Linked DNA regions of Cricetulus griseus. The protein of the gene in region 2 interacts with the protein of the main gene of each other region in a pairwise test. Links are inferred from orthologs where the notes say so. Each region holds a gene or a part of one and is shown on either strand. Other genes may lie near its edges.

What was found. The genes of interacting proteins can lie anywhere in the genome.
Region 1: the proteins of Wac (region 2) and Dydc1 interact in binary tests that used the Homo sapiens proteins (3 or more experiments, as listed by UniProt). The two-hybrid records come from large-scale screens. The link is inferred for Cricetulus griseus from reciprocal best matches to the Homo sapiens genes WAC and DYDC1.

Annotation. Positions count from the first base shown.
Region 1 is NW_023276807.1:179,045,097-179,049,920, forward strand, and holds the start of Dydc1 (DPY30 domain-containing protein 1), read right to left. Parts: upstream 2,977-4,824; coding exon 2,830-2,976; intron 2,385-2,829; coding exon 2,283-2,384; intron 1-2,282. UniProt on the Homo sapiens protein: Functions as part of axonemal radial spoke complexes that play an important part in the motility of sperm and cilia. Plays a crucial role during acrosome biogenesis.
Region 2 is NC_048596.1:207,007,623-207,012,371, forward strand, and holds the start of Wac (WW domain-containing adapter protein with coiled-coil), read right to left. Parts: upstream 3,389-4,749; 5' UTR 3,013-3,388; coding exon 2,972-3,012; intron 2,606-2,971; coding exon 2,569-2,605; intron 1,158-2,568; coding exon 944-1,157; intron 1-943.

The DNA.
Region 1 (4,824 bases), on a different chromosome or scaffold from region 2:
GGAATGATATTTGCCAGCGTGAGTTAATTTAAATAGTGTTGATTTACATGCTCAAAGAAATGTGTCACCCTGCAAAATTTGTTTGTTTGTTTTGTTTTGTTTTATTCTTAAACTATTAGTAAGAAAGCTGGATGTCAGGTCTCAAACCTGGGACAATTGCTAACATATCAAAGTGGACCTGGCCACTACATTATCCTAGTATTCCTCAGTCCCTAACTGTTACAGGGTATGGCTGACATAGCCCACTTCCTAAACTTTTCCAGCCCAGGGGTTGGGGTGCCCTTTCCCCAGATGCCCTTGTCTATATAACCCAGACATATTGGTTACCAAACCCTTTTTGTTTACTCTCTACTCTCCCGGCTCTCCCCTTGTCCCTCTCCTCATGTGACCCAGCTCAGGATCATGTTCACTCTGGACTCTGATGTACCTGCCTCTGGCTATACTCTCCCCGTAAACTTTCTCCTCCACCATACCTAGGAGCAGTCATGTCTCTTTTATTTTTGTTTGTTTTTGTGTTTGTTTGTTTTTAGTCACTGATCAATTTGTTGACACTAGGAACAATATCAGCTGTCAACTAAAAACAAGTCAAATGCTTTTGAGCATTTTCTCTCAGCTTTTGTTGAGTTTTGTTTGCTTACTCTATTTAATTTTTGACAGTCTCACTATGTAACCTAGGCTAGGCCAGAACTTAAGATCTCCTCCCTCTGCCTTCCCAGAACAGGGATTGTAAGTGTGTACCACCTGCCCAGCTTTTTCTCTGGCTTTTGTTTAGGAGAGGATGCTGCAAAGGTGTCCATGAATTACTCTTGGAAACCCATCAGTGCTGAGTTGTAAATGACCTCGAGGAAGAAGCCAAATCCTCAGCCTCCAACTCAAACACTTCAGGGAGCAAGAGAAAAAGAATGATCTGCTACTTCTCATCTCAACACACTCCCTGTTAAGCCCTTTTCTGTTGGTTCAGCTCTCCTTCTCTTATCTACTTCTGCCCACCCATCCACTTCTTTAACTAACCATAACATCTCTTGTAGAATGTCATCCTACATTCCACACCCCCTGCAAATGAAATGCTTTGGGTTCAACATGCAGAAGATTAGCTTTGCTGGCTAACACAGCTATGAAAATGTTGAATTTCTAGTGTAACTAAAATTTTATTCCAGTAGAATGAAGTAGACGCATCAAAGGCTGTGAAGTATATCCCCATAGTGAACTCATTGTCTTGGGAAAGAAGAACAGCTGAGACTCCCTGCTTCTCTTCAGTAGAGACAGATCTAGCTGTAGAGGAGGACAGGTCCAAGTGGGCAGCACTACTACAGATGCTTGGCCTCCAAATACTACATCATACTTGTTTCAGAAATGCTTAAGACTGTAGTAAGATGACTCAGGTAAGGTACCCAAGACAACATGAAATTCAGTTATATTTTATCTTCTAACTGAAAGTAATCAAATACCACATTTTATCATTTTGCTATGTGAAACAAAGTTTAACGATGTGTAATTTTCCATTCCTTGACACCATGTAAGCACGCAAAAAGTTACATATTTAGAAATATTTCTTGTTTTGGGTTTCTTTTTTTTTTAGGTCAGGGATGTACAACCTACCCTTCCATCCTCCTAAGGTATTATTTCAGACCTTCATCATTCTTTCCATCCCTCCTACCTCATCACTTGATTCTTAAGTATATGGTCCTGGTTGATTCTTACCTCATAAAGTCACACCAAGTCAGCTTTCAACTTTGTGTCACAAGCCAATACACCCACCTACACCTAGCCACCTATGCTTTGTCTCTGAGCTGCAATAACAGAAAGGTTCATCCACTTGTTTTCCAGGCCCATTGCCTCTTTTTACAGTGGATAGAAGGTTTTAGATGGTTTTTTCGATTTTTCTATTACGTGTTCCATGTGTTCCTGAATCAAAATAAAACCCATTTCCCTTCCCCTCACAAACCCCGTTAAAGCATAATGCTCACTCACCATCCCCCTTCTTACCCTCTACACCTCACACTCACCACTGTTCCTGGAGAGACTGCCTGGGCTATAAATGAGCACCAGCTCAGCAGTGGTGCTGTTGACTATTCTCTGAATTGTTCTGTTTCCTCGTGGCACTGTCTCTTCACAAAAAAAAAAAAAAAAAAAAAAAAAAAAAAAAAAAAAAAAAAAAAAAGGATGGGGATACTAGGGAGCAATGTCTGAATGACCAGAGCCTGGGAGTATTTCCAGATGTGGGTTGTAGCACACCAAGGGTGACACTGTTAACTTCCATCATATTTGAGTGCTTGTCTTACCTGCTGAAATAAGAGTTCCTCAGCTTTGAGTCGCTCCAGCATTTCCTGCTCCATCAGTGCTAATTCTCTCTCATGCTCCAACTCAATCATCTCTTTCTGTCTCTAGCAATTGGTAAAAAGCAACAGCACACAACTTATTAGAGACCAATCTGTTAACACAGTCTCAGAGGCATCTCAACCACCAGCAATAAAAGAAGGGCTAAGAACATAATGCTCTATTCATTTGGAAACTATACAACAATTTGGGGGATTTTTATGATTTAGCCAAACAAAGAACACACAATTAAGATTATACATCAAATATAAAGAAAAATGAAACCAATCTACAGACAAACATGTCAGGAAAAGACACTACTGGGTTGAAAATACTTAAAATCAAAACAGAAGCCTTCTTTCTGTTTTCTCTCCTCTCTGCATTCACATACTGTCCAAAGTTTTCATATAATAAACATTATTGTAATGGAAAAACAATATTGAACATAAAATGTAAACAAGATGAACCAATTATCATGCTCTTCTAATTTCCTGAAAGGAGATCCATATTTACCAATTGCTCCATGATCACATTTTGCTTGTACTTATAAATCCACAAGGCTAAATATTCTATTGGATCCAATGGGCGGACTCTTGCCACTTCAGCGAGACCTTGAGTCAGGCATGTCCCCAGGCACTTTTGAAGATATGATGACTCCATTTTTAATTCCTAAATAAAATGATCTATAAAAGTTTTTCATTAGAGCCAAAAGTGTTCTGAATAGGCAGAGTTAAAAGTAAAGTCAAGCTAAGCAGTGGTGGAATTCATCTATAATCCCTGAACTATGGAGGCAAGTAGGGGCAGGCAGATCTCTGAACTTAAGGCCACCTTGGTCTATAGAGAGAGTTCTTGGTCTACAGAGAGAGTTCCAGGTCTACAGAGAGTACCCAGAGAAACCCTGTCCATATATATATATATATGGCTACCGGAACATTCCACTCTGTCACTAGTCATGGGTATTTCTTATTAAGGATGAAATAAGCAGGCTGGCCCAAGGAAACTCCAAATGGTCTACAAAAGGTCTCTGCAGAAGTCATAGTGAAAATAGCTACTACATCCTGACAGTTCTTGTTTAGTCCCAGGGTCAGAAATGGGCACTAGTGTTATTCATCACATTGTGCCAAGTAATGCTGGTGCCAGTTAATGCCCACAACATCTCAGGCAATGGTCAGACAGGGAAGCAAACTCAAAGAGCTTTAGTGAACAGTCCAGAGCACTTGACTGGCATGTGAATGTATGGTTTGTACCCACTGCCTGACCTCAGAACCTTAAGTCTATTGACTCTAAGATGCTTCTGCTATGTACTTCCATAAAACATCACAAACTGTCCATCTCTTCTGAAAAATCATGTATTGTCAAAGCCAGAGAATACAAATTCAGATTCCAATAAACAGCATGCAATTACTCATAATCTAGCCATAAACTTTAGGCTTACCTCAAGCACCTGCCTGTCATCATCCACCCTAGGCCCTTACTCTACCAAATATTCTGCCATTCTACACAACACACCCTGCACTTTTCCAACTCCACGATCCTCCCTCTATTGTTGGAACATGGCTCCTCACCTTCAAGGTACAGACCAGCTCTAGCTCTAAGAGTTTTTTCAACCAGTACAAGAAGGTTCCTCCTGCTTCAAGTAGTTCATACAGCCTTCATCATGCTGCCTGAGATGAGAGAGAGAGAGAGAGAGAACATGCATGCATGTAGGCATACCATGCACCTATGCTTGTCTTTCTTCTAGAAGACAGACCCCTCTAGGTTCCCAAGGAGTATTTTGGTCACAGGGCTAACAGCACTGAGCAAGTTTGTGCCCACTCCCAGCTGTTTCCCAGTCTTTTCAGATATGAACATTGTTGCATGGCTCCTTCTGGGTTGACTATTTCTATTTACCCCAGAAGGATAAAAGACTGAACATATGATTCTACTCAAGCTCAGAATTGTAACCCAGTGTATTTATTGGGATTGCCCACAGAAGCTACGGTAAGAATATATGTTCCAGTGAGAAGTTTACTAATATTGCTTTGTTAAACGTATGTAATCTGTCTGTCAGTTGCCTTCTAAACATCTGCATTTAGACCTACAGACTACCTCTGATATCCATGGTGGCATGGAGAAAAGTAGGGGAGATGAATATTAAAGACAAATCAGTAAATACAAAATTAAAACTGAAATGTGTTCTCTTAAGAGAAGACAACAGGGGCTCTGACAATCCAGGGAAGCCAGGAAAAATCTTCTGTGAAAAGTTGATATTTGAGCTAAGCTCAAGTTTTCTGAAGAAACAGTAAAATTCACAAGACAAAAAAAAAAAAAGAGAATTTTAGCAGCTAGAGGAGAGAGAGTGCCACTGTGTCAAGACTTGCCTCTGGACCAAGGCATTTTTGCTTCTTGTAGACACCAGTCTGACCTGCAATAGTTATGGGAGAGCACAATTGGCATAGTTGAGGTAACATCTAGAAATATCACAATATGTTCACCATTGCAGTTCTTGATCCCATCTCAAAGGTTCAC
Region 2 (4,749 bases):
ATCTTATTGTCCAAAAACTACACAGCTTTTAATTATCTTAGTGAAATTATTTTATCCTACAATGCAGACTGACTTTAGAAGCAAATAGGTACATTTATAAACAGTGAGCAAAGTACATGTGCAAATGTACCTATTCCCAGTCATCCTCACCTGAATAGCTCATATGAGGCCCTATCTGAAAAGGCAAAATAGGAATTTAAAAAAGATCTTTAAAGTTGTGTATTTCTATTAAACATTAACAGGACCCTAAGGGAAAAAAAAAAAAAAAAAAAACACACACACAAAAAAACAACCAAAAAAGGGATGTAGGATTTTAAAGGGTTAAACAAAAACTAATTTCCTAAACAACAAAAAGCCTTTTTAGGCCGTGTTGTTGGCACAAGCCTTTAATCCCAGCACTCGGGAGGCAGAGGCAGGCAGATCTCTGTGAGTTCGAGGCCAGTCTGGTCTCCAGATCGAGTGCCAGGATAGACTCCAAAGCTACAAAGAGAAACACTGTCTCAAAAAAACAAACAAACAAACAAATACAAAAAGCATTTTTAATGGCAGTAGCTATCTTGATAAACCTCCTCTTTAAATGTCTAATTCATAATTACAATTAAAACTTGAACACTTGAAGCACCAATGACTTCAAACTAAACCAGAATCTTCAGAACTCAAAGTTCCCTTCTTGGAAAACTGCTCAGGGACTCTGCTGTCATTAGTAAACATTTAAAAGATTATCTTTGTAAATGCACTCGATATTTATCATCAAACATTGGAGTCTATGCTCATGCCAACATTACTTTCCAAGTGACTGAAAAATTTTAAGAGAGGGGGAAAAAATACCAAACTTGATAACATCAGCATACAGTAACTTCCTTAAGGTCGACACACTGAATGCACTGTTTAACCCTTAAAGTACATACATATACTTGACAGTTTGGGCCAGAAAACTACTTACCACCTTCCCTTTCTCTAACTCTTTGAGTATGCACATTTTTGGCCTTATTGTGACCTGTGCTGTCACTGTATTTGTTTTCAGGACTATCAGATCTCCGCAACATTTTATTTGGTGGTGAAGGATCTGCGGCGTCTCGCATCTTTTCATGTCTGTGATCACCACTGCTGGGGTGACTCTTTGACGAATACTTAAGTGCCTGGAAAACATCACCCCCCAAAACAAAGAGAAAAAGTTCAAACTTTAAACTCAATTACCTATTTAAATCACAAATTTTAATATGTTAACTTCACTTAAATCAAAATTCATTTATTTCCATTCTCAGTACTTCCCTTATTCAGAGAAAATCTAAATGCTCAAGAGTTACTATGCAACTCCTGGTAAGAAATCTAATACAACTAGGGGGAGAAAAAAAACCCTATTATGTAAACTTTAAAAAACAACTATCTTGGCACACTTTGAAACTAAAACCAGTTTTTGAAAGCTTAAACTGCAATCCATTTATACTCTACAAATAATGCATCCAGGCACATGTACAAAATAAGCATGTTTTTAAGACCATAGTTAATAAAAGTTTTTCCATTTCTTTGATTCAAATAAAGCACTAACTCGTAGTTTACAAGCTCTTTCAGGGATAAAATACTCTTAAGCTGCAAGAATATTTGCCAAAACTGATGCATGAGCAGAGCTTCTAAGAAGGCATAATTCTAGACGCCCTTAAAATAATGGCTCTCCTCTGCAGGTGCTTTAAGATGAACACAATGTATCAGTCCTTCACTAGTAGTTATATGGGGGAGGGGTCAATAATCTTTGACACATGCAAATATTGTCATCCCGGAAGCTCCTATACAGTAACACAACATCGTGTTAGAAACCTGCTTGCTCTCTTGCCAGACTGGTGGCTCCCACGTGTAATCCAGCACTCAGAAGACTTAAGACAGGAGTAATACTGGAAGCCACAGAACCTTGAGAGGCAGATCTGTTCCAATTCTTTTATCTTTTAAAAGTGATTAGTGGTGCTATCTGTTATCATCAGTTAGCGTCCAGAGGACACTCCAGCAAATCTTTAAAACTTTACATGCAAAAACTTCAATAACAATAGACGCCCAGAGACATTACTATTGGCATAAAGAAACCAAGTGGCAGAAAATTTAAATTAACTAAAGCAAAAACAAAACAGTTTCCCTTGAAAGGGAATAATGTTAACTAAAAAAAGGTACTTCTCCCTTTCATCTACTTTAAAACCTTCACATTTATCTTTCGGCTCTCCAAAAGCAAGCAAGCAAGCAAATGTGCCTCTCACGTCACCTATCACTACACCCCAGCGATTCCTTCTCACTCAAACCCAACCAGGTCTTCCTGGTTACGAATGTTTTTTTTTTTTTCTTTAAAAAGAAAGAAAGAAAAACCCTGAACTTCCTCTAGCCACCTCTCAATTTAAGTCCCTGGATAAGCTTGGAGAGTGGTAATGGAACCCTATACCAATTTTTAAGCGGGCCAGTCATGCTACTTTCGGATTTGTTGCACCGAAAGGCCTGTAGCGACTTCTGAAGCCTGCGCTCGAGTAGCAGTCCCTCCCTTCCCCCTCCGGCCCCCTCCAATCCCTCTACCCCCGGATCGGCTGGTACCTGGAAAGGCTGAGAGTCCCCCCTCCGGTCGTGACAGCTGAAAAACAGTAACAAGAACCGTGGCATGAGACATCGCGGGAAAGGAAGAAAGCGGGTTCCCCCGGGCGCCCCTCCCCGCGGGCCGCCGACCAAACCGTACCGGAGCGGATTCGCACCGCCGACAATCCCCGGGCTCAGAGGCCCAGGCCAGTAGCCGGCCCGCAGCCGCGGCCCGCTCGCCTTGCCCGCCAGGACCCCCAGGCTGCAAGCCCGTCCGCCCGATCGACCCGGCCCGCCGCCTCCTCCGCCCGATCCCGATCAGGGTTAACAACAAAAATGGCGGCGCGGCCAGCTCCCGATAAGGACGCCCGCCCGCCCGCCCGCCCTCCGCCGCGGCCCGGCCCGAAACGAAAAGACGATTTACCCATCACTGAGTCTCTGCTGTTTCCTCGCATACATTACCATCAATGCCCGGCTGTGTGTGTGTGTCGGGGAGGGGGAGAGCGGCCGCGAGGCGGGCGGGCGCGCGCGCGGGCGGCGGGCGGGCAGCGGGCAGCCCGGCACCAGGACTCGGCGCGCCCTCGGCGGCTCGCGGCACCTCCCCGTTACTGGCGCCGGCGCTCCCGGGCCATCTCCCTCAGTCCCCACCGCTTAGGGTCGGCCGGTGCAGCGGCGCCAACTACACGGCGGCAGCGCGAGCCGGGGGGAGGGGGCGAGAGGCCGTGTTCGGGTCCCCGCGGAGAGCGAGCGCCTCCAGCAACCTTCCCCTCCTCCTGCTCCTGCTCCGCCGCCGCCGCCGCCGCCTGCCCTCCTCCCCCCGCCGCCGAGTCCTTCTCGCCGCCTCCTGCCGCTGCCGCTGCTAGCACCGCCGCCGCCGCCGCCGCCGCCGCTCCACCAACTACATCCGGGCAACTCGGCCGCGGCCGCCTTCGGGAAAGCTCGGCAGTTTCCGCCACACCCCCCTCCTACCCACCCCGCGCGGCTGGAGAACGCCGCCTTCGGCAAACCTCGGCTTGCTCACGCCCTCCTCTTCCTCTGAGGCCTGGGCTCGTAGCCCCGCGACCCGTCAAGCCCTTTCCGGTTGCTGCTTCCCTCACTCTCGACTCTGGCCACTCCCGTTCCACTTTAGGGGTAGTCGTGCTCGGGGGCCTGCGAGAGGCGGGCCCCGGGGCCTCCGGGCTGCGCGGGGTGGGAGCCGCCTTCGGGAGGAGAACCGTGGGGCGCGAGGGACGCCATCGCGGACTAAATGCGGAGCGGCGGCAGCTGCGCGTGCGCCCAGAGGCGCAACGGCGGCGGGGGCGGGGTGCCCTCCGCGAGTCGGCCGCGGCCCCCGCCCCTCGGGCTCCGCGTGGGGGTCGGAAAGCCCCTAATTGGGCGGCCCGGACGGTTGCCGCGGAGCCTCGGCGGGCCGCGGCGGAAGTCGCCCTCAGCCGGCCGCTGGAACCCGGAACCGCGGCCGAGTGCAGTCACTCATCCTGCGCGGCTAGGGCGCCGGCCTTGGCGCTGGAGACGTTAAGTGGCCGGCCGCAAGGCGGAACGGAGCCTTCCCACCGCGACTTTTCCATTCCCTCCCAGTTCTTCCTCTCGCTGGAAGAAAATTCTTTGGAGAATGCGGCTGCTGAAAGAAAGAAAAGAAGAGAAAGAAAGAAAGAAAGAAAGAAAGAGAAAGAAAGCGTGTGGTGCCGGGCAGCGATGGCGCTCGCCTTTAATCCCAGCACTCGGGAGGCAGAGGCAGGCGGATCTCTGTGAGTTCGAGGCCAGCCTGGTCTCCAGAGTGAGTTCCAGGACAGGCCCGAAAAGCAAGCAAGCAAGCCTGTGGTGTGCTAAGTGAGGTTGCTGTAAGTTATTTGAGATACACGGGGTGGAAAAATATCAGCGACAGACTTTTCTTGGTGATAGTCGACTGGTTTGTTATTGTTGCCCTGAACGTAGATTTAACAGAAAAAGTTTCAATAAACAGAAGAGAGCAAAATGCACATCAAAAAAAAAAAAAAGCGATGCCCCTTCAAGATAAAAAAAAAAGCACTGAGAAGTCAATTTGGCATCCAACAAATTATAGCAGTGTCAAGTCTAGTTAGTGTAAAACAGACTTGAAACCATAACTGAAAAAAAATTAAAATAATGGTATTGTGTGCTTGTCACATCCAGGTGTCAAATGTTAAGATTTTTATGAGCAAAAGCCTGCTTAATGCCCATAGACGC